Linked DNA regions of Lonchura striata. The protein of the gene in region 1 purifies or fractionates together with the protein of each later gene. This does not show direct contact. Links are inferred from orthologs where the notes say so. Each region holds a gene or a part of one and is shown on either strand. Other genes may lie near its edges. The genes, in order: KDM5A, PHF12 and GATAD1.

Evidence for each region.
Region 2: the proteins of KDM5A (region 1) and PHF12 purify together in Homo sapiens (affinity purification with mass spectrometry; 3 studies listed by BioGRID and IntAct, with this or other methods). This does not show direct contact. The link is inferred for Lonchura striata from reciprocal best matches to the Homo sapiens genes KDM5A and PHF12.
Region 3: the proteins of KDM5A (region 1) and GATAD1 purify together in Homo sapiens (affinity purification with mass spectrometry; 6 studies listed by BioGRID and IntAct, with this or other methods). This does not show direct contact. The link is inferred for Lonchura striata from reciprocal best matches to the Homo sapiens genes KDM5A and GATAD1.

The regions. Positions count from the first base shown.
Region 1 is NC_134607.1:11,873,661-11,883,464, reverse strand, and holds the start of KDM5A (lysine-specific demethylase 5A), read left to right. Parts: upstream 1-3,037; 5' UTR 3,038-3,102; coding exon 3,103-3,267; intron 3,268-3,660; exon of another isoform or gene 3,661-5,095; coding exon 5,096-5,173; intron 5,174-6,656; exon of another isoform or gene 6,657-6,720; coding exon 6,721-6,843; intron 6,844-8,994; coding exon 8,995-9,165; intron 9,166-9,645; coding exon 9,646-9,780; intron 9,781-9,804. Other genes in the region: CCDC77 (coiled-coil domain-containing protein 77), read right to left, coding at 323-366. UniProt on the Homo sapiens protein: Histone demethylase that specifically demethylates 'Lys-4' of histone H3, thereby playing a central role in histone code. Does not demethylate histone H3 'Lys-9', H3 'Lys-27', H3 'Lys-36', H3 'Lys-79' or H4 'Lys-20'.
Region 2 is NC_134622.1:7,573,099-7,582,902, reverse strand, and holds the start of PHF12 (PHD finger protein 12), read left to right. Parts: upstream 1-3,837; 5' UTR 3,838-3,946; coding exon 3,947-4,012; intron 4,013-4,318; coding exon 4,319-4,500; intron 4,501-9,804. Other genes in the region: SEZ6 (seizure protein 6 homolog), read left to right, coding at 1-148, 225-419, 499-690, 770-967, 1,064-1,102, 1,208-1,328, 1,409-1,511, 2,040-2,072.
Region 3 is NC_134603.1:133,632,974-133,642,777, reverse strand, and holds GATAD1 (GATA zinc finger domain-containing protein 1), read left to right. Parts: upstream 1-4,229; 5' UTR 4,230-4,292; coding exon 4,293-4,492; coding exon of another isoform or gene 4,493-4,496; intron 4,497-4,526; coding exon 4,527-4,737; intron 4,738-5,023; coding exon 5,024-5,083; intron 5,084-6,183; coding exon 6,184-6,367; intron 6,368-7,126; coding exon 7,127-7,317; 3' UTR 7,318-8,803; downstream 8,804-9,804. UniProt on the Homo sapiens protein: Component of some chromatin complex recruited to chromatin sites methylated 'Lys-4' of histone H3 (H3K4me), with a preference for trimethylated form (H3K4me3).

The DNA.
Region 1 (9,804 bases):
GTGCACATCCATAAAAACCCTGGGCACTGTAAGAAACCATTAAATATGCAAAAGTATAAGTATTGCCTGCCATAACTTGCTGTAGGACTAGAAACTCCTTAAACAGTGCACTTAGAGAAACAACACTAGAAAGAAAGAGGCAACCCAGGCACAAGGTGAGCGCTTTACTGCTCAAGAGCGGCAGACACTGAAAGATGGAAGAAGGACGCACAGCAGGCACAGGGCAGACCTAAAGGTGCCCCAGGGCCAGCCAGGCTAGCAGGCGGGGAGGAAAGGCTCCGGGAGCCGCCTGTCCCGGCGGCAGCAGCCCCACACTCACTACCTTGCGCAGCGCGGGCTCCCCGCAGCGCGGTCCGCTGCGCTCATCGTGCCCCTGCGGAGAGCCGGGCCCTTCAGGGGTGGGGGACAGCGGCTTTGGGCACCCCGGTAGGCGGGCGAGGGGGGTGCCCGGCGGGATCCCCGATGGAAGAGCCCCGAGATAGAGGTCCGGGGATGGGGTCCCGCCTCCGCCACCGCCACCGCCTCCGCACGGCCCCAACGGCCGAGCAACCGCCACACCGGCCCCGCCGCGGCTTAAACGGCGCCACAGCCCGCCCCGCGGCCTCCTCCAATCACAGACAGGCTTCCATGCGGCGCCGGGAGCCTGCACCAATCAGCGCTCGCGTCGCGGGCGTCAGCGGTTCCGCGCCGGCGCGTCTGGGAGTTGTAGTTCTGGGGTGGGCACAGGGCCTGCGAGGAGCGGGGGCCTGTGCTTATGGAGCCGCGCTTGTGACAGCAGCGGGTCGGGCTGCGGGCAAAATAACAGCAACCTTTATCCGCTCTGGCAAAAACGCCCCTTTTCCTTTGAAAATGACCTGGCATTCGGAAGCAGCCACAAGAAGTTACTGGCACAAATTCTGACTGAATTGAGTGTGTTCTTTAGGTCATCCTGCTGCCTTTTAGCCTCCTCATCCTCCTCATGTATTCCCGGTAGTACCTAGTAGTAGTGTTGCCATTTATGCACCAAACGATTTCCTAATTTATTAAGTGTGCTGGAGAAAAAAAAATTGCTCAGCAATAAGCTAGGGTTCTTTTTTCCTTAAGACTTTGTGTCACAGGGACATTCTTCTCCGTCTCAGGATTTATCATAGAGGTGCACAGAAGGAAGAAAGAGAAAACAATTTCTATTTCTGCTCCTTGTTTTTTGTGGAATGTGCTTGGAGAATTGTTTACCTGAAATGATTCCTTGATTGGATTCTGGTGAGGATTGTTTGAGCCTGATGGCCAATCCAATCCACCTGCATCTGAACTCTCAAGAACAGGGTCACAGTTTGTGAGTGAGTTAGATATGGTAGTTAGAACAAGTAGGTTTGTAGTTTTACTTATATAGTATATTAATGTATTATAGCAGTTATAATAAAGAAATCATTCAGCCTTCTGAACTAGAGTCGGACATCATCATTTCTTCCCACTGGGTTCACTTGCATTTTACAATAACTTTGTTTAAAAGACATGGACTTTCTATATGACAAGGGAAAAAAAAAAAGCTTATTTAAGAAACCACAAGGTTCTTCCTCATCACAATTTGCAACTTCCTTGTGAGGGGAAGAGGAGGGACAGGCATTTATCTCTTTTTGGTGACCATTGACAGGAGCCAAAGGAATGGCCTGGAGCTGTGCCAGGGCAGGTTTAGGTTGGATATTACAAATAGGTTTTTCTCCCAGAGGGTGGCTGGGCACTGGAACAGCTCCACAGGGCAGTGGGCACAGCACCAGCCTGCCAGAGCTCGAGGAGCATTTAGACAACGCTCTCAGGCACATGGTGACTCTTGGAGTGTCCTATGCAGGGCCAGGAGTTGAACTTGATGATACTTGTGGGTCCCTTCCAGAGAGAAGAACTCTGTGATTCTTCTTCAAATCAATTTTCTCATGAAATAGAGAAAATAGCAGGGTAGATAATTTCTCTTGGCAAAGTCCAGAAGATAGGCTGCTGTTACGGACTGGCCCTGATGACCGTTGTTGGTTGGTCCCTTCCAGCTCAGGATATAAACTTTTTCTGAGGCTGAAACAGAACACCAGCACGGAGGTTTGAATAATCAGTAAGAATAGAGTGAAATGTGGCATTTGGTAGATAGCGAAGGCACAGTTTTGGTTGAACACAAAAAAACATACTTTGGAAGACCGTGTTGCAACAGATAGGTAAAAGATACAGATCTCTCATTGACAGGAGCCGAGGGAACGGCCTGGAGCTGTGCCAGGGCAGGTTTAGGTTGGATATTACAAAAAGGTTTTTCCCCCAGAGGGTGTCTGGGCACTGGAACAGCTCCCCAGGGCAGTGGCACAGCACCAGCCTGCCAGAGCTCGAGGAGCATTTGGACACCGCTCTCGGGCACACGGTGTGACTGGGGATGTGCTGTGCAGGGCAGGCAGCCGGACTCTGTGACACTTGCGCCTCCCTCCCCATTCCGACACCTCCCTCCGTCACCGCCGCTGCCGGGGGCGAGCTCGGGGCGGGGCCCGTGAGAGGGCGGCCCCCATGAGGGGGCGGGGCCCGTGAGGGGCGGGGCTCGGGAGGGGCGGGGCCTCCAGCGGCGCTCCTGACGTCCGGCACAGACAATGGGCGACGCGGCCCCGCGGAACCGGAAGAGAATGGCTCGCACTTCGTCACACATTCCTCCGCGGCGGAAGTGGGGTGGCCCCGCCCTCCCCGGCCCCCGGTCCCTCCTGTCGCGGCGCAGTGCCCTGAGAGGCGGCGGGCGGGGCGGTTTGCCCTGAGCTCTGTCGCGGGGGCTTGTCCGGGAGCTGAAAGCGAGGAAGCCACCTCGGCAGAGGAAGCGCTGCGGAGGAACTACTTTTTGGATCGGAAGGCAACGTGCGAGAGCTTCCGGGAGGCCGTAGAAGGGACGTCACTTCCGGCGGGCTGGGAGGCGAGGAGCGGGGCTCGGGCGGGGGCAGCGGTCCCGGCCGGGACAGCGGCAGCAGCGCTTGGCAGCACATTCCGCCGCCCCGCCCGGCAGCGCCGCCAGGGGATGCGCCTCGGTCCCCGGCCCAGCCCCTGAGCCCCCGGCCATCCCTCTCCGCCCTGCGCTCCCGGCGGCGGCGGCGCCCCCCTCCCCCTGCGGCCATGGCGGGGGGCGGCGGGTCGCGCTATGCGGCCGAGTTCGTGCCGCCGCCCGAGTGCCCCGTATTCGAGCCCAGCTGGGAGGAGTTCAGCGACCCACTCGGCTTCATAGGCCGCATCCGCGGCCTGGCCGAGAAAACCGGCATCTGCAAGATCCGGCCCCCCAAGGTACCGCCCGCCTTGGCGGCTGCGCCTGCCGGATCCCCGGGTGGTCCGAGAGCGGCCGGGCCCTCGGTGGCCGGGTGGAGGACGTGAGGAGCTGGACAGGCCAGTCCCCCCCTCTCCGCACACACTCGGGGTTTCGTGTGTCGCTTTCCTTAGGCCGCGGTGTCCGTGCCAGGGACGCCGAGGAACCTGTAGAATCTTTGACCTCCGAGCGGGGCTTTGTAGAGGCTGCTTTGGAGCAGCTGAGAAGCGAATAGTGCGTGGTGGTGCCCGGGACTTCGTGCTATTTTTATTTCCAAAACGCCAGCAGTCGACTTGTGAAAGCTGGGAAGGCTTTGTAGGTGAAATCGGGCGTTTGCTCCGGGTGGGAAAGAGGGAGAGGGAAGGGTATTTGTTCGTTTTGTATCATTGTTCATAAACACAATTTTTAGACCGTTAAGAGGAGGGTGGCCAACCTGTTGGTGTGCGGGCATTACGTTTGTTCACAGCTGTTCGGGAGGTATCCGCTTAATCTCTCCGATGGCTTGGGAGTTACAGGTCACCTGCCTAGTGACCAGGCGGGTCATCACAGGGAGAGCTTCAGGCAGCTTGGCAAAAGGCACTTACATCAGTGAGTTATTAGAGTACAAATACACTTCAAATGCAGCTGTTAATAAGAGACTTGAAAACAGTGAGAGAGGTAAAAACCTGAAAAGAAAGTGTGTAACTGAGAACAGTGTAGATATGGGGGTTGCTGATTGGATTTCCTGGTTCTCTCCTGACCTGTTTTGGTTCCTGGAATGTGTTTAGTTAGTTTAGTGACATGGTGAAAACTTGACCTCCAAGGGGCTGCCCTTTCTAAAATAAGCTGCATAGCTCAGTTTGAGAGCCCACAAGGAACAGATCCAGATCCTGTTCATTGAGGATAACTGAAACTTCTCTGGCTGTTGGATGCATTTGCGTTTCTCTGAGACTGCTGAGCTGCTTGCCTTTCAGGGTTTCACAGGATGCACGTGTTGGGTTGATTTATAGTCTGCAATAATTGCTAAATCAGACATTTCATACTACCCTGACTGATTAATTGCTATTTTCTATTATTAGAAGTTGTAAATATTTAAGGCTGTGCTCAAGGCCTTTACATGCTGCAGCAGATTATGTGGCTTGTCCACCTGTAATGGCGTGTCCTTCTTCTGGTGTAGCCACTGCCAGGTGGATGCTCTGCTGTAACTAAAGCTTTGGTAAAAAGTGCTAAAAAGCTGATTTTCTTGTTTTGATGTAACAGGGTTTGAGAAATGGGAGTGGGAGGCACTTGTAGTTGCAAGGACCCCTGATGTTGCTGAGAAAATCATTATGTATGGCTCCATTTCTGTTAAAGAATTGGGCTCACAACTTGTGGTCTTGTCTTTATTGAAATGACTGTAGACAAGCAGAAAACCTTTAGATATGTTATGATATGCCTGGTTTAGCCTTTGTTGCTGTTGACACTGAGGATTTTTCAGTGTGCAGGATATATGGATTCTTTGTTTAAAGTAAATAAATAACCGATCAGCTAAAGAGTGTATTTCATGTTTAAGCATAGCATGAGGTAATGCATACTGAGATGCTTTGAACCTTATTTTCTTTGACATTTTTGAATCTGTGAGGATCTTTATTCAAACTAAAATGTGGTGGGAGGAACATTGTTGTATAAGCAGAAAATATCTTAAAATTGGAAAATTATATCACCGGTTGTTCTGAGAAACTAATTTACTATTGGAAGCTTGTTTACTGAGGCATTATTAGGGTGTTTGGTTTTGTGCATTTTTCAGAGAAGTTTCTGGAAGCAGTAAAATGTCTTTCTGTCTCTGCTTAGGACTGGCAGCCTCCATTTGCATGTGAAGTACAAAGTTTTCGTTTCACTCCACGAATTCAGCGCCTGAATGAACTGGAGGTGAGCTTTTTCACTGTTGATATAATTTTGTGCTTGCACTGAAAGAAAGAGGTCTTCCTGCCTGAGATTTGCAGCTTGCCAGGTTTCTGGATGGGGGACACTTCAGAAGCCTGTAGACCACATCAGTGTTTATACTTGGCAGTGGCAAAGTTTGTATAAAATAACCCTCCCTCGCTTTGAGAAAATTCTGTTTTTTATTTTATTCCCCCAAAATAACCACAGGAGTTTTTCTCATTCACCTGATAGTGTCTAGAATGAATTCCAAATATCATGTGTTTAGTAAGAGCAGCCAGTATCTAGCCTTCAGAGCTCCACAGGCAATGATTTTTTCCTCTTAAAATATTTCCTGCTGCTCTGATACCTCTGGTTACCTCATACTGTCATAATAATGCCTTTTAATCCTTAAAATTATTTTTATAGGTTTATTATAGCTGATAATGTTATGATTTTAAAACTTAAGTGAGCAGTATGACCTCCATTCTGTCCTGATTTTTCCTTATCTCTGCAACATCTCTCAAAGCCTTGCTTTGTTCACCTACCAAAATGTCATTTGGCTTGTAAATGGGTCTCCTTATGGAAAGTGATTTGGGTACTCCAGAAATACTTCAGAGAAGAGACCCTTTGTGTGGATAAGGAATATATAAAAACTGGCACATACAAAAACTTGGTAATTCCCCTCCTCCCCACAGATAATTGTCTTGTTCACACAGGACACCACTTCTTTTTGCCATGGTTGGGATTAAAGCTTGAGATGCTATTTCTTGTTTGGACTGAGGTGTTTATTAGTTCTTATCTATGTTACCGTCTCACAAGCCATGAGTTCTACAGCACTTCACTCTAACACACTAAAAACATGGAGCTATATCTCTCTCTCTACAAGGCCTTTTAATCTCTAATTAAGAAATGACACAAATTATTTTTACTTTTAACCTAATAACTAACCACCTGTGGCCCACAATGTGGACTTTTTTATCTGATTACATTATACCACCCAAACCCATGGAGAAGAAGGTAAAGAGGGACTAAAAACCTCTCTCTTGCTTTATATTAATTACTGTGTTCTAAAACTTAAAGCTCTAAGTTTTCTACCATGTGATATTACACACTTCTATTCAAACTACACACCCATAATCTTAGTTTTATCATTCTATTTTGGAAGCCTTCTCCACAGCCTCAGGTCAAATGCAGTCAAATGTGACTGTTGGCGGGGGTCACAATAATTTTTCTTGTGTTTCTGCTTGGAATGATGATCATTTCATAAGCATGCATTTTGCTTTCAGGCCAAGAAATTATTTGGTAGGAATTTAATTTATAGTGTCTTAAATGCAGAGAGAAAAGCATATGTAATTTTCTTTTTGTGAAGTGTTTTTTTAAACAAAATTTATATTTTTAGGGGTTTTTTTACCTGATAAAGAAATACCTCCCAGGCAAGTTCCATGTTGAAAATGGAAACACTATAAAAACTTACCTTGTTTTCTCTCAGGACTGTAAGATTTTGCCACATTTGGTTTTGAACATACGTGATTGTCTACCTTTACTGATTCCAGGCAATGACAAGAGTGAAACTGGACTTCCTGGATCAGTTAGCAAAATTTTGGGAACTCCAAGGATCCAATTTAAAAATCCCTGTGGTTGAGAGAAAAATACTGGATCTGTATGGTCTGAGCAAGGTAAGTATTTGTAGACCTTAGGCAGACAGGGATTTTAGTTTTCATTCAAGCTCAAGAAGCCAAGCAAGAGGAATGACTTGTGTTACAGCACTAATCTTATTAACTCAGAGATTAAATAAGTGGGAAAAATTAAATGAAAAAAACATTTCTAATTTGAATATTTATGGCAGACCTCTCGCAGTGTAATTAAATTAGTTACCTTTGGTTGGATTGGTTGGGTTCCATACACCAGGTATTTATTAGCTTGTATAGCTTGAGTGTTCTGATTTCAGCTGGCCTCTTGATTTCTAGTTCTCCATTCTTACATGTGGTAGAGCTGCAGGAGTTTGAGGTGTTGTTTGGGAAGGCAGCAGTATGCTTGTGTTCATTTCAGCTCTGATCAACAATTCTGTAATGATTTATTGCAATTTCTCCTTCTTCTCTTCCAGTAGAGGTTTTTATAAACACGTGTCTCTGAAAATATATAATGTCAGCTCAAGGAATACTTATTTAATTTCCAAAACAGACTTGGCTTAAGGCTGGCTAGAAATGAATGTTTCCATAGTTATGTTTGGTGAACGCACCAAATTTCTTTCAAAGTTTATGCACAAGTCTCTGTTGGAATTTTGTTTTGCACTGGCAAAATGTATGTACCATTATAGACTTAGCTGCTAATAAATATAAATAGGTAGATTTCTTCTTGCAGGGAAAAGACCGAAGTTCTGGTAGTTCTAGTGCTTCTAGGTTAGTGCATCAGTTTCCATCCCCAATCAAGATTTATTTCTCTTAGGTAAGTAAAAATGTAAATGAGTATATTTTTGTTTTAAAGAAAGTCAAGTGTTTTGGAAAGTCTAGAGGGGCTAATAAAATGCAGAGAAAAGCTGATAAAATGTCTTCTAGTATTTTTTTTTTTCTTTTTGTGTCTATTGTGTCTATGGTGGGATATGCAGAATATCAGAGAGATACTGGAAAATATCTGGGTCATTGTAGTGAGCTGGAACATTTCAATTGGCTGTAGATTGGCAGCTCTGAGTTGATTTGGTTCATTACTGGCTTCTTTAGCTTCTTTAGATAATTTCAGAAAACAAGTTTTCCTGGAAATTTTAAAGATAAGTTGAAGTTTAGGACAGGTTTATTTTAAAAGGTTTCTCTAGAGCTTTTCTGTAAGTATGAATAAAAATAATTATCATTATTATTATTGTTTTATGTAAGTGTAATGCTGTGGGATTATGGGAGAAACCAGAATTAACAAATTTACTTATCACTATCACAGTTAGACTTCTCAGTTTACTTCAGCCTCACAAGCAAACCATAAGTTTAACTCCAGTAACAAATGTTTTTGCCTTGAGGTTTCTAACAGTATATGAAACACTGAGCTTGAAATTTAGTCTTCATGTGTAAAGAAATGCAATGCAAAAGTTTATATTCCTGTAAAAATGATACTAGTCTTACAAATAATATAAATGGAATTATAATCCATTTGTGTTTTAAGTTGCTTGGCAGTCAAACTGTAAAAGGAATGGAGGCAGTCGAAATGTGGCCTGTGTGTCGGAGGAAGCAACTCATATGCTGTTATACTGCTTGCAGGAAAATGGTTTTGTTTTTAATTGTATATACATATAGATGTAAGCAGTGATAGTTCTGTATGTGAATTACTGGTCTGAAACCAATTGAAGTCATGTGTAGTAACTGGACTGAGTTGGAAGGTAAATTGACTTTTCCCTCTTTATAGTAGTCTCTCTTCCAGGTTTTGTGAGAGTTCTGAGCTCCAACACTCCTTTCTGCCTGGGGTCTGTTAAAATGGGCTTTATTGCTGGCCAGACTTGTGTTTTACAACAGAGTACAAGTCTGGTGAGGGTTAACTTTTCAGTTTGCTCTTATGGTAGGTTTTGTATCTTTTCCAGCACATGATAACCTCAACTGTTGGACCCCTTCTGTTACAGATAGTATGCAATTTATGTTTGCTAGCAAATTAAAAATCACATTACATATATGAAGCAATAAGAATAAGTGCTTTGTTATTAAAGGATTAGTCTTTCAGGAAACAAAAGCTAATTTCAGGATTCTGTCACTTTTCATGGAACCTTTTAACATTTGGTTGGTTTAATTGATTCTTGCTTTACACAAGGTGGTGAGAGCAGCTCAAAACCCTTAACTTTTTATTTATTTCAGATTGTTGCCAACAAAGGAGGCTTTGAAGTAGTGACCAAAGAGAAGAAATGGTCTAAAGTGGCGAGTCGGCTTGGCTACCTGCCAGGGAAAGGCACGGGGTCATTGCTCAAGTCTCATTATGAGCGGATCCTGTATCCCTATGAGCTCTTCCAGTCCGGGGTCAGCCTCATGGTGAGATGCTCATCTTTCACGCTAGGAAGAGGGTACCCAAAAGGCACACAGGGTGTTGTGTTACTCTCTGTGAAACTGGGACATGGGGTCACTGCTGTTAGAAGCTCCAGCTGTGCCAACAAAGTTAGAACCACCCTTGTAGTTATCTGTGACAGAATAGTGCTGGAAGTTGTAACATGACCTTGTGTAGTTATTTTGTGGTATTTCTTTATAGGACTGAGGTCAACTGTGTTGGGAAGGAAAACAAGACAAAAGAAGATATGCTTAATTGGAAATGTTTATTTTTCTCTTGATAACTTGGTAGCAGGGATTCAGTTTTCTTATTTGAATGGTGAATGAATTAATTGGCCTATTTTCCAAATTGTGTGTGTAATGCTGTGTGACTTCACTCGTCATGTTTCTTAGCAAACAGAATGATTTACAGGCTCTGGAATCATTAGCACTGCCTGACCAACAGTCTCCTGTTCTCTGCTCCTCTAGGGCATCCAAAAGCCTAACTTAGATCTTAAGGAAAAAGTGGATGCTGAGGACCTCAGTTCAGATGCCCAAGCTTCCCCAAAGCAGGCTTCAAGGATGAATGTTATGTTGAAGAGAACCAGGCGTGTCAAATCCCAGGTATTCCTGCTGATTACCTCTTAT
Region 2 (9,804 bases), on another chromosome or scaffold:
CTGACGGCGCGCATCCTGGGCCAGTACACGGGCGCCCGTGGCCGCTTCAAGCTCTACGCATCCACTGCCGATGTCACCGTCCAGTTCCAGTCCGACCCCGGTGCCGGTGCCTTTGCCTATAGGCAGGGCTTTGTCATCCACTTCTCCGGTGAGGCCCGTGGTGGGACAACACCCCTGGTGTCCCCAGTGTCCCCACTGCCCTGCTCAGCCTTCCATGCCCACAGAGGTTCCCCGTAATGACACCTGCCCTGAGCTGCCAGACATTGCAAATGGCTGGAAGACGTCCTCACAGCCAGAGCTCCTCCATGGCACTGTGGTTACATTCCATTGCTACCCCGGCTTCCAGCTGACTGGCACGGACCTCCTGATGTGTCACTGGGACCTGACGTGGAGCGGTGACCTGCCCTCCTGCGAGCGGGGTGAGTGGTGCCCACCAGTGACCCCCTGCCCTGCAGCGCATCCCCAGCTGCTGTCACCACCGGTCACTCCTGCCTGCAGTGACAACCTGCCGGGACCCTGGGGATGCTGAGCACAGCCGCAGGGTGGTCTCCAACCCTAAATTCCCGGTGGGAGCCACCGTGCAGTACGTCTGTGACAAGGGCTACGTCCTGGCGGGCGCTGGGACCCTCACCTGCCATGACCGCGCTGCGGGGGGACCCAAGTGGAGCGACCGCCTCCCCAAGTGCATCCGTGAGTTGCGTGTCCCCTCCTCGGGCATATCCCCCGAGCCGAGGTCGAGCGCTGACGCCGCCGTACCCCTGCCTCGCAGCGGAGACCTACGAGCCCTGCCACAACCCCGGCGTGCCGGCGGGCGGGCGGCAGAGCCCGGAGCGGCGGCTGTACCCGGCGGGAGCCACCCTGCGCTTCTCCTGCACCGCCGGCCGGGCGCTGCTGGGCGAGAGCAGCCTGCGCTGCCTGCCCGGACACCCCTCCCGCTGGAGCGGCTCCCCTCCCATCTGCAAGGCGGGTGAGACCACCACCCCCCACCCCGGCACCCCGCCGGCACCGCTCAGCACCCCACTTCTCACCCCTGGTGTTGGTTTCTTTCTCCCGCCTCCTCCAGCCTCCTACGATGAGTTTTACAGCAACCGCAACCTGGATGGTAAGGGCGAGGGTGTTTTGGGGTGCCAGAGCGTGGAGGGGCACCCAGGGTGCGGCCGATGTGGGGTGTCCCCTGGGTGAGCCCCCAAATGTCCCTTTCGGACAGCTGTGGCCAAGGCCGTGCCCTCGGGGACAACGCTGGAGGGCACCAACGTTGCCATCGCTGTCTTCCTGCCCGTGCTGGTGGTGGCCCTGCTCATCGGGGGCATTTACCTCTACTTCTCCAAGTGAGTGGCCCGCTGGCCCCTGTCACCCCATGCGGCCCCATGGCCCCCCACTACCCACCCCAGCTGCCCTTTCCCCACAGGCTCCAGGGGAAGCCGGCTCTGCAGCTGCCCCTTGCTGGCTCCCACCCCTATGACCATATCACCGTGGAGTCGGCTTTTGACAATCCCACCTATGAGACAGGAGTAAGTACTGGCCTCCACGCCCCCCGTCTGGGGCTGGGCACCCTGGGGACCCTGCACTGCATGGGCCACCTGTGCCAGGGGCTGTGCATGGGCTGGGACGGGTGTGGGATGGGGTCATGTGTTCCAGGAACCACACATTATTTAGGAGACGCATCCAGGAACAACACAGGGGATGGGACATGCACCCAGAGACCACCCATGGGATGATGTATATCAGGATGGACATCCAGTTGGGGACCACACACAGGACAGGACATCAACCCAGGGACCACATGTGGGGTGGGATATCCATCTAGGCACCACACATTGGTTCAGACAACCATCCAGGGATCACACACACTATCTGGGATATCCATCCAAGGACCATGTACAGGATGGACGCTGATCCAGGACCCATGGATGGGATGGGACATGCATCCCCAGGGCTGTCGTAGTCTGGGATGTGCCCCCAGGTCTCTACGGGATGGGAGATGCCCAATCCCTGTCCCAGGCACCCCGTTGCACTGCCGAGTGTCCAGCCCCTTGCAGTCTGTTTTCTTTGCAGGACACGAGGGAATATGAGGTGTCCATCTAGGTGTGGGCAGCGTGGAGCTGGGCGCTGCAGCCACCCCTCCCGGGCCCCCCCGTGCCCACCGGCCCCCGGCACGGGCTGGGAACACCTCTCCCAAGGAGACTCAAGCCGAGCGCTTGGCAGGACCCACCTGGGCACCGGCCACCCCCCTGCCACCCCCAATTCACCCAGACCCCCGTGGGATCTGCCCGAGCCCCACTGTCACCCAGCCCCCCGCACTGGGCTCGTGAGAGGCTGAGCCAGCGGGGGTCCCCGGACCCCATCCTGCCCCCTGAGCCAGCGGGGGTCCCCGGACCCCATCCTGCCCCCTGAGCCAGCGGGGGTCCCCGGATCCCATCCTGCCCCCTGAGCCAGCGGGGGTCCCCGGATCCCATCCTGCCCCCTGAGCCAGCGGGGGTCCCCGGACCCTGCCCTGCCCTTCGGGCTCCATCCTTCCCCCAGACCCCGCAGGGGGAAAGCAGCAGCCCCACAGTCCGTGCGGCGGAGGAGTGACACGGGCAGGGGGAGCGGCGCTCTGGGGACCCACAGGTAAGGACAGGGCTCCCCGGAGCTGCAGCGAGCAGGGGACAAAGCCCCGGGGGTGGCCGAGGGGCTTGGGTGGCCATGTGGGTGTCCCCCCGCCCCCCACCCAGCACACAGGGCTGGTCTCCCCACGACCCTGTGTCTCCCAGCGCCGCCACGCAGGGACGTGTCCCTCCCGTGTCCCCAGCATGCTGCGTGTCCCCCCGGCCCCCGCTTGCTTCGCCCTCACCGGGGGGGTCCCTTCCGCCACCAGCGTGTCCCCAAGGCGCGTCCCGGCACCCGGAGTGACGGGGCGGGCAGGGACACCGGGCATGGCTGTGCCGCCTCCCACCGCCGCGTCCCGCCCGGGCTGGTGGCCCCGGCCCCCGCCGCCCCCTCGGTCTGGAGGGGACGCCGCCCCCCTCCCCATCTTTTGGTTGTTTCATTAATAAAAAATGGTGTTTTAGAAGAAGCGATGGCGTCTTCTTCAGCGGGGCCGGGCAGCTTGGAACGGGGATACACCCACACATACCCCCCCCACCCCACCCCAGCGTGGGCCCTGAGCCCACCTCATCCCGACCCCCATGACACCGCGACCCCCACGCCCCCTATCCGGTGCGCTCCGGGAGGGGAGCACTGCCGCTTTAAGAGGCGTGGTCTCTGCCGGGGTGACGTCACGAGAGAGGCCGCGCGCCGCGCGCCCCCTGCCGACGGGCGCGTGCCCCGCCGCCCCGCCCCGCGCCGTTACGTCACTGACGTCCCCGGTGGCCCCGCCCACTCGCTGGAACGTGACGGCCGCCACGCGCCTGCGCGAGAAGGGGGCGGGGAAGGGGCGGGGAGGGGCGGAGCCGCGCGGGGAGGCGGAGCCACTGCGCGTGCGTCCCGCCGCCCCCCCGCCGCCGCCGCCGCCGCCGCCGCGCCAGGTCCGCGCGCGGGAGGCGGAGCGGAGCGCGCAGGCGCGCGCGGGGCGGGCGGGGCGGGGGCGCGGAGTGCGCGTGCGCGCGGGGCCCGGAGCGTCGGCGCCGCCTGTGCGCGGGGCGTGCGCGGTGCGCGAGCGGCCGCGGCGGGCGCCGGGCCGCCGCCCCCTCCCTCCCTCACACACCCACCCCCTGCGCGGCAATGGCAGCGGGCGTCGGGCCCCCCGTGGCCGCCCCCGGGCACGGCTGGAGGAGGAGGAGGGCGACGCGCAAGCCGCAGCGGCCCGTGGGATAGGCCCCGCCGCCCGCCCGCCCCCGCCGCGCCGCGCCCCCCCCCCCCCCGCCGCCGACTCGACGCGGAGCCGCCGCTGAGGGGCCGCCGCACGTCCCCGCCTCGCTCCCTCTCGCCCGGGGGGGGCTCTCGGGGCCGCTCCTGGGCTGGATGAATGTGGGAGAAGATGGAGACCAAGACGATCGTCTACGACCTGGACACCTCCGGGGGGCTGATGGAGGTGAGGCCCGGGACGCGGCGGGGGGAGCCGGGCCGGGGGGGCAGATGGCGAGGGAACCCCCCCAGCCCGGAGCCCCGTGGCCTTAGAAGGAAGTGCGGAGGGACGGAGGCAGCTCGCCCTGCCCCTGGAGAGGCCCTGCCGGACACTGGGCGGGCGGGGCGGGCCCGGCCGGGGCTCTGTCCCCCCCGCGATCCCCTCCCGGAGGGCCCGGGGTCGCTGTCCCCCCGGTGGGCTCGGGGAGAAGGGCGCTGGGTCAGCGTCCGTGCAGCCCCTCAGAGCCCGCTCTGTCTGTGTGTGCATGTGCAGCAAATCCAGGCCCTCCTGGCTCCCCCCAAGAGCGAAGATGGGGAGAAGAAGAGCAGGAGGCCCGAGAAGGAGCCCAGGCGAAGTGGCAGGGCCACTAACCACGATAGCTGCGATAGCTGCAAGGAAGGAGGGGATCTGCTGTGCTGCGATCACTGCCCCGCCGCTTTCCACCTCCAGTGCTGGTAAGGCTTGGCGCTCTCTCCCTCCGGATCTGCCCAGAGCACCTTCCCTCCGGCCGCTCCCGCTTCCCGTTAGGTCCCGGGGAGGGGGGGGACGTGGGGCCGGCTGGAGCAGACAGGAACAAAAAGGAGGTGCAAACCCCGCTTCGGTCCATCCCTCCTCAGACTTAACCCACGGCGGCCGAGCTGAACCCTCCTCTGGCTGCTTTCTGGAGGGTTGGGGGTCCACCCTCCTCCTTTCTTTTTGTGCTGAGCAGCGGGCGAGAGGCCTGGAGGAGGAGCGAGGCCGCTGGCTGCGCGGCCTGGCTGCCTTGCTGCTGCCCCTGCCCGGCCTTCCGCCCTCCCCAGCGGGAACCTTCCCCACTCCCCCCTCTCCAAGGGTGCCTGGCTTGTGGGAGACCCTCCGGAGGGCTCTAGCTGGAGAGGGGGAAACCCTGGTGGCGTCTCCGCACCAGGCCTGACGTTCCCAGCGCTTCCGTGCTGCTGCAGCTGCTGGGAATAATGGAGGTTGCTGTCTCTGTGTCTCCCTGCCTCACTGTTTACAATATGGCGACCTTCCTTTAAATTATATTTTTATTCTCAGCGCCATTTTGGCTGCATATATGACTTCCAAACCCTCGCAACACTCCCCACAGTATCTCAAACGTGAAAATACCTTCCCCGTGGAAATCCAGGCCTCCAGGCTTTAACGTTGGCCGGGTTTATTCCTTTCCCTCCTTTTTTCTCTTCCTCCTTGCTCTTCCGACCTGCTTGCCTGCTCCGTGGGGGTGTCTGCCGTGAACTGGGGGGCTGCCGGGTGCTCTTGCTGGGAGTTGTGTGGCTTTGTTGATGAAGGCAGAGCTTTCTGCATGCAGATCTGGCTGCCGGCTGGGAATCGAGGTGCGTGTGGAAGCGGTGGCAGAGCTCGAGGTGCTGGAGGCTGCAGCAGGATGGGCTCTTGCTGCCTTCCCTCACAGCTTCCCAAGCTCTCCCCGCACAAAGCGACACCACGCCAAAAGCGCCTCAACTTTCCGCCCCAAAGTTTTTCCTTTTTCTGCACCCGGAGCTTGGATGCATCCTGAAATCCCCCCTTTCAACAGTTGACAGAGGCGGGCGGTTTGTGTTAAATTAGCACTGCCAGAGAGGATAATGGAGTGGAGGAGGGAGCGGGGCAAGTCAAACAGCTGGAGCTTGGGAGTACAGAGTATTCTTCCTTAGGGGAGATTTTTTAACCACATTCCTTTCTCTCTTTCATGCTTTGGAGCTTTGTTTGCCACCCTGTTACAGCTGTCTCCTCTGCGCTTTTTTTCCTCTCTCTGTTGTTTTTTTTTTTCCTTGCTTTTTTTTTCTGATTTCCATTTGCTTGCTGGCTATTCTGTATTTCTATGCTAATTGAGGGTCTCAGAACACTTACTAAACTGGTTGCTGATAGCAGGGAAGCTGAGTGTGCGGTCACAGTCCTGTAGGGAGTGTCCCGTTAGCAGCATGTAGCCAGGCAAAGCCGACAATGCTGTAGCATGCAGCCATGACATCATCCCTCCTACCCTGAGGAAGTGCTACTGGTGGTAGTGCAGATCCTCTAATATTTCCTAGCAGGATAGTAATTATCATTATTTTTCATCCAGTGTCCTTGATGAGTTTTAATTTAAGGGTGGTTTTTTCCTTCTGCCGGGCGTAGTTGTTTTTGGATGCAGCCAAACGCGTCCTGAGCGTTCTCCTAGCGAGGCTGAAACTTCCCATTTTGGGATGGAAGAGCTGTGCCTAAGGCTGCAGAGTTAACTCTGAATCCTAGCTAAGTCTGACCATAAATGACACCACTTTTTGCCTAAATTTCATGGCTTAAGTTGGCGTTGTTTTTGTAGTTAGTGAGTAGGGAACAACCAGGTAAATCAGATACCTGAAAAGCTTTCACTGTACCTGAGCTAGTTGCATTATAATTGTATAAGAATTTATATAAAAATATTGTATAAAAAATACATATATATATCTTTGGCTAACTAGTCACTCTTCAGAACAGAAGTGAAAGAGCAATTCTAAATACTCTCTTTCACTCCATTTGTTGCCTCTTCTGGGGTTTCTCAAGCAATCCCTTTGACAGTAGCCCAGACCCTGCTGTGGGAGGTGGCACAGTGTGGAAAGGCTTTGTCTAAAGGCCTCCAGCTTGGGTCTGGTTCTGCCTCCCTCCTCCTGAACCTTTGTTGGACCCTTGGCTATGGCCTTCAGGTGACCTAGGTTGTCTCAAAGGAATGCTCAGGTTTTGTTTTCATGTGTCTTCCTATTACCTCCTACACTTTGCTGAAAGTAAACTTCCATTCTGGATATAAACTTAGGCATAAAGAAAGGCAGCTCTTGCAACTTCCTTTCTGCCTCCTTTTTTTTTTTTATTTAAAGAATAGTAGCTGTACTGGAAGGCTCGGTTTAAGTCACTTGAATAGCCCTGCTGGAGCACTCTTAACTGATTCGTGTCAACAACTTACCTGTTCTCTGAATATTTATTGTGAGCTTTAGTACCAAGTTGAATTTATTATCAGTATAGCACAACAAAAAAAAGTAGCTTTTAATTGGTCTAGGGTATATGAGCAGTTGATTTCAACTGTCTGGGAGAGGCCATATTACAAAAGAAAAGGATTTTCAGGGGTATGATTGGCTCAAGTCATGCAGTCAGCTGGAGACAAACCCAGCTCAGCTTCGCAGGAACTTGTGTTGCTCCTTCCTGTGTAGAGAAGGTTCTTCTGTATCAAGATGTTTAAGGCTATAGTGAGTAAGTTGGCTTTGCTAGGTGTGTGACCCTCAAACTTCAGCAGTTTGCCTTAACTTCAGTTTAGCACTTGAACCCGTTGTCCTCTGTGGAAAACAGAAGGCAGAGGCCAAAACTCCGGAAACGTTTGGAGTCTGATAGTATTACACATCTGAGATGGTAAATAACAAGTGTTGTTGGTACACTGTGGAACGACTGCTCTCCTGAATTGACGTGGGTGGAAGTGACTTCCCAATTCATCTGTTGGGGTGTCAGTTTTTCCCACAACTCCATTTTGGAGTCACTAGTTCAGGAAAGCTGCTATGGGTGCTCTGAGAAGCCAGAGGACTCCAGCCTGGCTGGAGATAAACTGGCTTGGTGGGAGGGATACAGGAAAGTGTGAAATCCCTGCCAGATACTTAGTTTCAACATACTTGGATTAATATCACAGTCAGGTGACTCTCTTCAAGTTTGAATTTACAGAGGAAGGTTTTTTGGGTCCCTAGGAATTCTTGAAAACAGGACATGGGATTTTTAGCTCTGAAGTTGTTGTCTTGTTCTGCTATTTGCCCACAATCTGCTGCTTTGGGTAACAGTGCAGAGTGCATTTCCATCCTGATGTTCTGCCTTAGCCCAGGCCCCCAGGAATGGTGCATACTCCTTCTTTACATGATTGAAAACCAATTTTCCAGTGCTACTTCTATTCTTTCCCATTTATATCCTCCTTCTGGCAATGTGATTGTTAGAATTCCCTATGTTTTCTTGAGCTTGTAGTAAACTTGATTCACATTGAAGTGGGTTTGCAAAGTGACTGATGTTGCAAATTCATTACGAAGGATTAGAAAGATCCCCGGGAGAGGAAAAGTTTAGTTAACAAGCTGGGGGAGGGGAGTGACAACAGGAGGGAGAACCAACACAGAACAGTTTTGTGTTTGTTTTTTTTTTTTTCTCCCTCTTTTTGTTTTTTTAAAAAGTCTCCCTGCCTGAGTTTCTGGTTGGAGGAGCCCAAAAGCACAAACCTCGCTGAATGCTGCGGTTCAAGTCCCTCTTGTAAAAATCTCATGCCGCTGGCTGTGCAGCTCTGCTGGCATGGCAGAGTGACCTCAGTCCCTTAAAGCTCACCAGTTACGTAAATGACAGTGCCAGTTTTGTGGCACGGCTCAGCAAAACGTTTCCTTGTAGCTGGGCTTCCTCACTGCTGTGCTGGGAGAAGTGTGTTCTGTCCGTACCAGGGCCTGCTACCTCCATCAAACTTTTTGCAGCACCTCCTTGTGTTTATATTTGCAGTGTTTGGCTCATTTCCCCTCCGATTTGGCAGTCTTCACCCAAGTGCTGGTGTCAAAGAACAGGAGTAACAGAGCTGCAAAGTGCAGCAGAGGAAGCTAAACTAGCATTTTGGTATTTTCTATGAGTCACCTTGTTTTAAGTGCTTCGAACAAAGAATGGAAAAAAGTTGTGTTTGGCTGGTAGGGCATCAATAACTCTTTCCTCACCTTATTCGGCCTAAAATGCCCTGTTGACTTGTTCCAGCTTTGGATTTTTACATGAATATGCCATCTGTGAGTGGAGAAAAACAATGGCCAGTCTGTTGTCTCAGTTAATCCTTCCATTAATGGTCATCTTGGGCCTGCCTCAGGTGTTCCAGGTGAATCTTAGAATGGTCTGAGGCATCTCCTGCTGCAAGGAGTAGCAGGATGTCCAGGAAGATGCTGGAGAGGCAAACTTCTTACCTAATAGTGCCTAGGAACGGGTTTCAGTACATCAAATTACATCACAGCTTCAAAAAAGCTTGTCATTTTAAGTGGAGGAAGCTTTTATTATGAGGCTTTCTGTTTATTTGGGTTTTTTTAACAGTAAATGATTGGCAAACCCCTACTTTAATGTTTATGTAATTGCATATTGAAGGTCAGAGTAAGCTGTTCTGTTCCCAACATTTAAATGTATCTATCTTCACCGATACTTTGTTAAAACAATATTGGTTTAAGTATGTGCTTTTAAAAAAACCCCGACTTTTGTTTTTATGTGTCGCTGGTTCTGATATTTTGGGAGACTTGGGGCCAGCCTAGGCTGGATCCTGAGGCAGGAGGAAGTGATTGCCCTGGCTGAGTTTCTGGCAGCAGAGGGTCACTGCGTGTGCGCCTGCAGATGTGGTAACATGATCAGTCTTGGCAGCTCTGCTCAGCAAAGTTGTACCAGTGAGATTTTTCACTCTCCTTATTTTGTCCTAAATCTCTCTGTGCAAAGGCAGATAAGGTCAGCCTAAATCTATGGACTTCAGCTGGGGGCTTCAGCAAATCATTCACAGTACGAATTTGAGGAACTCGTGATTGGGTGACTGGCAAGCCACCACTCTCACCTGGGTGTGGGGATGTTGCTCGTGTTAAACTGCGCATGAGCAGATTTTGCACTGTGGGCAAGAACTGGGGATTTGGATTGAACCGTGGGTCTCTGCTGCAGTTCCCAACATCAGTGTGGAGTGATAGGGGCATGGCTTTGGGATTCTAAAGTCGAGGATTCAAAGTTGAGGAGGGGGATGTTTAGCAACTTGACTTAGGCTTTGCCTTCAAGACGTGGCTGCTGCATGGACTGGT
Region 3 (9,804 bases), on another chromosome or scaffold:
TTTAGGGTATGTTCAGTACTATGCCAGATTAGTTGGACACCATGTAGTAAGCTGAATGTTTTGATACGTAAATACAGGGGACCATCACTAAGCTTTGAAAAAAATATACAATAGAATTTGTCTTAATTGCTACAGACATATTGTGCACTTGTTCTTTGTAGAGTGATGCCTTGTCACTATGAGTAGTGGTGCTAAAGAGGGGGGGCTAATTTTTGTGAAAGATTCTGTTAATTAGTGTTACTTAAGTGCCACTTAATATCCACTCTGGAAATTCCAGAGTGCCTCTGTTACATTAGTAGCACTAAACTATTTTGTTCATTGTTACAGTTACATCATCAACTTCCTCCACTAAGCATGCCAAGATCATGGAATCACAGACTGGTTTGGGTTGGAAGGGACCTTGAAGATCATTTTGATCCAATCCCCCTTCCATGAACAAGGACACCTTTCACTAGACCAAGCTGCTCAGAGCTCTATCCAACCCGGCCTTGAACGCTTCCAGGGATGGAGCATTCCCAACTTCTCTGGGCAACCTGTTCCAGTGCCTCAGCACCCTCACAGAAGGCATCCCACTGTAATAGTCAGGGAGGGTGGTGAGAAGCCAAAACATGGACACAGTAATAGCCAGTTTCTTTACAAGCAATTGTCTGGCTCAGGAGACAGCTTCAACATGCCTTGAAAGAACCAAATACTCATGATCATTTTATGTCATCTCTGTCATTGCTTTACCTACCCATGTCCCTCACGAGGGCCAAAACCCAAAAACCTCACAAAATCCAGGTGAATTCCTGGCTCTAGTACAAGCTTGAATGAGTAATTAAGACCCAAAAGCTGCAAAGACAGATGCATGTTACTTATGCGAGTAATAACTGTGTAACACATCTCAAGATTAACATCAGTTGTGGCCCAGGGAATTAAGGGAATAAAAACTGCTTTTCTCAAAAGAAAGCTGTTAAGTACAGAACCTTAGAACATAACCATGTGGAAATCCAGAGTGCACCAATCCATCAGATTTATACCCAGTTTCATGCATTTACAACACAAATATTTCTGGAGAAGCAGTCCATGTGCATCCTCTGCAGCTGACTGTGGAACAGTGACACACACATAAGAATAAAGGATTCTTCAGCTGTGAGCCAGCTGACTGTAGGATAGCAGTAAGAAGCTAGGAGGAAGCAATGCAATTAAATCCACTGCAGAACAATTCAACTACTGAAGCAGGAAATGAGCAGTATGTACGGATTTGCATCACTTCCAATAAAAACCATTCTCACTGAAAGCTCCTGGGGAGAAAGAGTTCTACTGACAGCCAGTGTGCCTGCCACAGTCCCCATCCATAGGTGGAACCAACATTTTATTTCCTCCACTTCTTTGTCGAGTCTACATTGGAAATTTCACAGAGCAGGGACGGGCTCTGATGACTCCCAAGGGCAGCCCTTTCTTTTACTGCGGGAAAAATAAACTGAAAATACACATTAACTGGAAGAGAACTTTTACTCTGCAACTTTAGCTGAGCTTACACAGCACAAAATGCCTCAGCTGCATCAGGCACTTCCAGTCAGGCCTCAGACAGAGTCAGCCCACTCCAGCTCCAAAGAGAGGCTAGTTCTGTTAAGGAGAATCAGGAAACTGAAGAGGATGCTCAGAATTTGGGATTGACGTTGTAAGGCTTGGGATCCTCTGGAGAAGAAGGTACTTAAGTAAAGTCCTGAGCCCCACCTCTCCTACCCATAACTACCAGGTATTCAGCAACTCTCAGAACATTTCAGCTGTTGCCCAAGATAGCTGACATGCTGGGTGTAATTTCTGACAAAACATCATAACCACTGTTCTTTGTGTCACCTTCCAGGTGAGGTAGGGATGAACAAACTGCACTGACAGCAATCCCTGCCTCTGATTTTGCACAAGGCCAACAGAATAATCATACCAAGAACACTGTAATCTCAAGGTGTTGTTTTACTGTGGTTCTATTGAACTGACAGAACCACACTTGTCAAGAAATAGTAAACTAAAACTTTCTGACAACATAAAAATGGTTGTCTAAACCAGTTTTTAATTATCTTAAACTACCACCGCAGATTACGTTTCTTAAAGATTAAGCTTTATTCATTTGGATTTTTTAAATTCAAGTTATTATTTAAAAGCAGAAAGAATAATCACAGTGGGTAATTTATCAACAATATACAGTAGCATATTAAGAGTATTCACATATATGTAAACCACACATATTCTATATTTGTGACAGAAAAGACCCTGCACATGATTTCATAAAGATCAAGGGGTTAGCAGTCTGGAGTCAGGAAGATGGTAGAACTGGAGCAGAAAAAAACAACTATTGCAATTTTTATTTGCTCTCCATTAACAATAAATATTATAATAAACTCACAAAAACTTTCACAAAGTATTGGATACTTACCTCGACAGAAATGGACATTGTCACTCATTTCCAGCCCATTTCTACACAGACTAGTGAAGCTCTGCCAACATGATGGCAGTCAGAGGGGCCCAGACTCCTGAGGTGGGTGGTTGGGAACAAAAGCAGGCAGACGCTACAAAAAAAAAGTGGGAAGAACTTAAGGGTTCTGAGAGATCACTGATCTGCAAAATACAACTACAGAGAGATGCATTAAAGAAACAGAAAACAAATAAAAAAAAAAATAAAAAAAAAAGCACCCGGTAAGTATAAACAGCTTGAAAAGAGATGAGGGCAAATGAAGATTTAAATCAAAATTGAGGAATAAAAATTTGGTGCCTGAGACAAGAAAGTCAAACTTGGTGTGAAAGAGGCATGCAAGAGGTTAAACGTAGCTGTCTGTGAGCCAGTAGCAACACAGGCACACCCTGCATCCACTGCATGCTGCATGAGGGGAACATGTATTAATAGATTCCTGCAAATTATGGCTCTTTGTGTCCACTGAGGACAAGACAAAAATCAATTTCATTTGCACCAAAGAAGCTTTAAATAAACTGAATATGGGAATTAAAAGACTGCAAATCCTCATGCATGACTGGGCATTTCTTTCATAATATCTGACTAGAAAAACTTCTACAAGGGATGGCCCATGGCCACGTGAGTGGCAGTAGGTGAGGAACCACTATTAGATCCATGGTTCCTACTACATTTGGTTCTCAAAGCTTCACAAAGGCACATGTTCATTCCCCAGCCTTTTAAACTACTTGATACGTAACTGAGGCTTCATGCAAGAGGGGCATAGAATCATAGAGTGGTTTGTGTTTGAAGGGGACTTTGAAGATCATCTAGTTTTAACCACCCATGCCATGGGCAGGGTCACCTTCCATTAGCGCAGGTTGTTCAGAGCCCCACCCAACCTGATTTTGAACATTTCCAGGGATGGGGCATCCACAACTTCTCTGGGCAGCCTGTTCCAGTGCCTCACCACCTTACAAGCAGAGGATTTTTTCAAAATATTTAATCTAAATGAAGGCAAAAACTGGCATATGTTGAGGTTAACATTCACCAACACTTTCTTCTGAATCAGGACAATCATTGCAGTCCATCTCCAGTTCCCTGATTTTCTGTTGAGCCAGAAGAGTGACAGCTGTAAATCCTTGAATGACAGCACCTGGCATCCCCTGCAAACAGCAACAGCATCAGAGGTGGCTTCTGCAGCACAATGTTAAGGGTTGGAAGCTACCTTAAAGATCATCTAGTGGCAGCCCCCCTGCCATGAGCAGGGACACCTCCCACGACACCAGGTCTTGCACAGCAAAGGTCTTACCCAGCACAGTTTTGAACACTGCCATGGTTGAGGCATTCACAGCCTCCCTGGACAACCCGTTTCAGTATGTCACCACATGCACAGTAGAGAATTTCTTCCTAATATCTAATCTAAATGCTCCGTCTTTCAATTTGTACCCATTCTCCCCTGTGCTGTTCTGCCACTGCTGTTCCTGACAGAGTCCCTCTGCCTCCCCCGGACGTTCCCTTCAGACGCCGAAGGTGCTGCGAGGTCTCCACACGACCTTCTCCAGGCTGACCAGCCCCAGCTGCACCATCGGGGCCGCCCGTGCCCGCCTCCGACCCCGCCGGCACCGACAGGCCAGCGCTCTCCGCGCCGCGGCCCCGGCCGAGGCGGGAGCAGCCCCTGAGGGGCCGGGCCCCGCCCGTCCCGGGCCGGGCTCGCCGCCGCCAGCAGAGGGCAGGCCCGGCCCCGCCGCTCCCGGCCCGCCGCTCCCGGCCCGCCGCGCCACATCCGCCGCCGCCGGGAAGCGGCCGGCGCCGCGCTCCCGCCGCTCGCTGTCGGGCCCGCGGGCCCCGCGCCGGCCTCAGCATGCCGCTGGGGCTGAAGCCCACCTGCAGCGTGTGCCGCAGCACGTCCTCTTCCATGTGGAAGAAGGGCGGGCAGGGCGAGATCCTGTGCAACAACTGCACGGCCCGCTCGGCGCCGCCGCCCCCCGCCGCCTTCGCCACCACCTCGGCGGCCGCCGCCCAGCACAGCAACAACGGCGGCGGCGGCGGCGGCGGCGGCAAGCAGGTCAGGAGGCCGAGGGCGACGGTGGCGGAGCCGGCGGGGCCGGGCGGGGCCGGGCGGGGCTGCGGCCGGGGTGCTCGGGCCGTCCCCCTTGTGTTCATCCCGCTGTTCCCCGCAGAGCAAGCAGGAGATCCACCGCCGCTCCGCTCGGCTCAGGAACACCAAGTACAAGTCTGCGCCCGCCGCGGAGAAGAAGGTTTCCACGAAGGGCAAGGGCAGGCGGCACATCTTCAAACTAAAAAACGTAAGGCGGGGCCGCGGGTGGGTCGGGAGCCTGCCCCAGGCTGGGCTGGACATGGAGCCCGCGGGAGCAGCGGGAAGAGAAACCGGTCAGGGAGTTCAGCACTCGCTTCTCCACATAAATCCTGGAGAGGGAAACGTCAGCTCTGTTGCTTTGAGCTTTAAAGTAGAAGTGTTTGCTAGTTTTCTTATGTATCTGTATGTTATCTAAAAGAAAAATCCATTTCTGGAACTTTATGGTTTATTTGTTTTAATGCTTTTGATTTTCTGTTTCTGTATTCTTTTCTTAGCCAATCAAGGCTCCTGAGTCCGTATCCACTATAATTACAGCAGAATCAATCTTTTATAAGGTATGGTTTATGCAAATCTATTTGCAAAAATTATTATCCTGTTTCTGTTTCCAATGTTAGGAATTATCATGGACAGTGAAAGCACTAGAGATATAATCACAGAAACTGTTCTTCCTTGCCTAACAGTTGTGTAGGATTTTGGTTTGCCATAGTTATTGCCATTAAGTCTTGCAAGGTAGTCTACCTAAGTTTAAATAGTTGCCATTTTCCCAGGTTTTTCTCTTCCAAGCAAAAGTACTTTTTTTTTTTTTTTTTTTTTTTTTGTAATTATTGCTGTCAGCATTTTTAAACTTAACTTGCACTGTGCAGAGGTCAGGTGACTAGAGACGATTATTTAGATTTGTTTGATATTTGCTGTCTTAGGTGCAGAATATATTTCGCATAGAGGTGGGGTTGCAGTGCCCCAGTATCTCAGCTGGCTCCCATTTGAGAGCTGGTGCAAGCAGTCTCAGACACCCTGGGAACAAGATCTGTTGGCACTTGCAGTGAAGCAAGAAGGAGCCTTCTCACCTTCATGCTTGAGAGCAGCTTTACCAGCATGCCAAGGTGTTGGTATTCTAAAGCACTCAAATTTGCTTTTGTTTCCCAGCAGTATAAGCAAACAGAATGTTTTTTCACCCTCTTCCTCTCCAAAAAAGTCAGAATAGGCAGTGGGAGACTACACAGCCAGTGGTGGTGTGAGATTCCATATACTCTCCAGGGACCTGATGTTTCATGCCTGGCATTCCAGATGAATCTCGTTTGCTTTTGACCAGTTCAGAAAAGAATTACTGTCATGTGTGTCTGTTTTTATCAGAAATTCCTAAGAACTATGTCAAAATTTCTGTTCTCATTATGTAGAACATTGCTACTTTGATACTTTGCAGTGTTGTTGTGAATAAGTTTGTTTGGGATTGTTTGTGTTCTTTTTATATGTTTTGAAAATAACCACCTTTCTTTCTTGTGCTACCATTCTTTAGCATGTGGCTAAATTGAAGCTGCCTTTCAAGAGTGGAATAAATTAGGATAATTTAGAGTACTGCTACTTAATACATGAATCAGGATGTGAAGCTGACAAAAATCAGGTTGTTTGATTTCAGTGCCATTTGTATGTCTTCTAGGGTGTATACTACCAAATTGGAGATGTTGTTTCAGTGGTTGATGAGCAGGATGGAAGAACATACTACGCTCAGATCCGTGGGTTTATTCAGGACCAATACTGTGAAAAGAGTGCTGCACTAACCTGGCTCATTCCTACCCAAGCCAGCCCCAAAGACTGTTTTGACCCAGCATCCTACATCATAGGTAATCTGTAAGCCTTCACGTCATGCAACTACTTGGATGTGCCTATGCTAATGCAGAGTTGTATTTTTTAAATCAGCATTTTAGCTTCTCAAGGTATTTTATGCAAGTTCCACATTTTAGACTCTAATCTTGTAAACATCTCATTTACTGTAATAAGACTTTTTATTTATCTTGTGTATATAATATGATTACCACTATTGTAGTGTGTGATTATCTGAGTGTTTGTGGGTAGAATTACAGTTGTGCATCTTTAAGGATCAAATTATTGATTACTATTATTACTATTATTTATTATTATTATTACTGTTATTACTATTGATTAAACTATTACTACTATGTTTAAACCATAGTAACTTTGATTCTGATATACTAGTCCAAGTTGCTTATTTTAAAGTGACCTGAATTACTTGATCTTTATCCTGGGTATTCAAAATACATAGCACCAGCATAGAGACTGTTCTGCTATTGATGATAAAATAAGGAATTCAGAAAAGTCCCTCTAACAGGCAGAACACAAATAGAATGTATTTTAAATATGTTAACTACAATAGTCCACTCAAATACCAGAATGCTTCAAATGGGATGGGGGGGAAGATCAGCCCAGCAAAATTAAAGGTAGAGGTTTATTGCCTAAAACAGGAGGAAAGTCATGGATTGCAAGGGCAAGCTCTGTAAGGGAATGTTGGCTGTTGTGGCATATTTTTATTCAACATACTTAGTTTTATGTCTCCAAGTTATGTCTTTGAATTTTTTTTCTAGGACCAGAAGAAGATCTCCCAAGGAAAATGGAATATTTAGAATTTGTTTGTCATGCACCTTCAGAATATTTCAAATCTCGATCATCTCCCTTCCCTACTGTTCCTACAAGGCCAGAGAAAGGCTATATATGGACTCATGTGGGACCTACTCCTGCAATCTCCATTAAAGAAACTGTAGCCAATAATTTATAGTTTTCAAGGAATACTTTGGACTAGTTCTTTTGTTTGTATCCTCCAATTTGTAAACACCTTACAAAAAGTTTTAAAATTATAAAATGTGCCGGGTTTTTTTAAGGATTATGGTATTTATTTTTTTCAGATGTATCAGACCTTTGAAGTGAAAATTTTCATTCCAGTTGATGCATCATTTCAGTGCTTTGCTCTTCAGAAATTATTGCTGATCTTGGGACAAAACCAGAAGTTTCATGTCATCTTTGATGTCTGTAGCATTCATTCTTACTTTTTAAGTTATTTTCCAGAAGAGGAGTTTAAAAGATACAATCATCCAGCATTTTATATAACTGTTTAATTTAGTTAACTGTGACTGCTGGTTTTTGTAAAATAATTTAAGACTAGCTTCACCTAAATCCTGAAATGGTCAGTGATGCAGTTAAGTTTTCTGTTACATGGAGAGAAGTGATCTTCCTGGATTTCTGCAGACTGAAACCTCATCCGTAAAGAGGGACGCTAACAGTCACCTTTTATGGAATTTTGTTGATCTGAATCTGTAATTGGCCTATGTGTGTAGCTTTCTGCTAAACTTACTTATATAAGGGCATAAATTTCCTGGAAAATTTGATGCAAATTCAAAAATTAATGTTATTTGCCATCCTGGCATCCTTATGGCAGAAGTGTATTTGCATTTCCTGAGCAAGCCAACACTGACACATGATTTGAGTTTCAGACTGTTAATATTTGTTTGCTTGTTAGCTTTAGATTTTAAATTGTTTTTTCAGTCTTCACAATTAGTGATGGTAAGAAAAAAAAAAGTCAGGCAATTAAAATGAAAAATCAGTAAGGGAAATAAAAATTAATTAATTTTATGTATTGACAGTCTCAGCATGACAAGGAATGTGTATAAACAGCAGAATGGGAGCAATGCCACATACTAAAATACCAACGAAGTTTTCTGCCCTAAACTTTTTACAAGCCATTCAGCTCCAAACACAATGAGATGTGCTTGTATGGTTTGAATTCCAAGGGTATTGTATGAAAGCATTAAAATGTTGCACTAGGCTTATATTCTAACTTTATGAAAGGCTTTGATTTAACATGTAACATTTGAAAGTCTCAGGTATTGACAACTTTTAATACAGTGGGACCTGTGAGGGCAGGAACCAGACAGATTTGTTTCAGCCTGCAGCCTCTGTTCTGCCCTCTTCAAATACAAGGAAGAACAATCAGCCTTAGGGGAGTAGATGCTAAAATTAAGGGATACTGTCAATAATTCAAAATGCTCAGGAATTAGCAGTAGATCGGTAATACAGAGTTAAATCTTAGTCTTCAGTAGCTTAGAAAGATGAGATGTGTGCCTATGTTCCGTGTGTTGCATTGATTAATCCCAAGTTGACATCACTTCTCTCCATTCTCTCCTTTCAGTTTCTCTGGGTTTTTTCTTCTTATTTCTTTATTAACAATTACAAGAAAATAAAAATAACAAGTCCTATATTTACAGTAACCAGAGTGACTCCCTTGACTCAAATCTTTGACTTCCTTTCACTGCAGTCCACAAGGTTTTCACTTGGGATCACTCTAAAATCCCTGTGCTGCCTCAGCATAATCCATGGACCTGTCTTCTTCTGTGGGCTGTCTTACCTTATATGAATTACCAGGGTTGGAAAAGGCCTTGATGGTCATTGAGTCCAATGAAGCTTAGTTCATTGTCAAATCCTCATAGGAGTAACAATGCTCTACATGGTTTTGATTTTTTGAGTTCCTACAAGGAACTCAAACCAAATGAAAAGTACTTTTTGCCATTTGCCTTATTTGTCAATAAATTGTAATATAAAAGGGAAAATTACAGAATATACCTTTCTAAAATTCAGTGCTGCTGTCAATTCAAGTATTATGGTTCCAACTGCAGTCTAAACAGACAAAAATATTTTTTTTCAGAGAGCTATAGAACAACTTCCTTTAGTAAACACTAAATACTTTTATTTTAGTGTAGTTTTTATTATACTAGGAAATGTTAAAAAATAATTCAGATTAACAAGAATTCTGAGTGTAAGGTCTCAAAAGAGACTGGATCTGCAGGCAGTGACTGTTACTAAAGTGTTAAACTTCATTTTTAGGTATTTGAATGGTTGCACTGTCTTGTTTTTCTTGTGTTCAGAACATCACCCAGTAACACAGGGAGAATGATTGACTCTCCAGACAACTTCTTATGGATGGACACAGCTGAAGAGTGGGACCTCCAAGAGCAACATATCTGAAAATTCTTCATCTCTCTCATATTAGGAAAATGGAGGACAAAATGAAGACCAGCAAAATGGACTCAACAGCAGAAAGAATATCAAAGGATCCTGTAGGGACAGGCTTTGATGCCCTGCAGCTGAGGGAGCTGAGCTCACCCATTTCTGTCTTCTAGCTTGGTAATTCCCCATGCCAAAAGGTAGGTAGGTTTCATATTTGTATCACTGGACTGTGAGTGGATACATTGCCACTGAATTTACGGCCTTG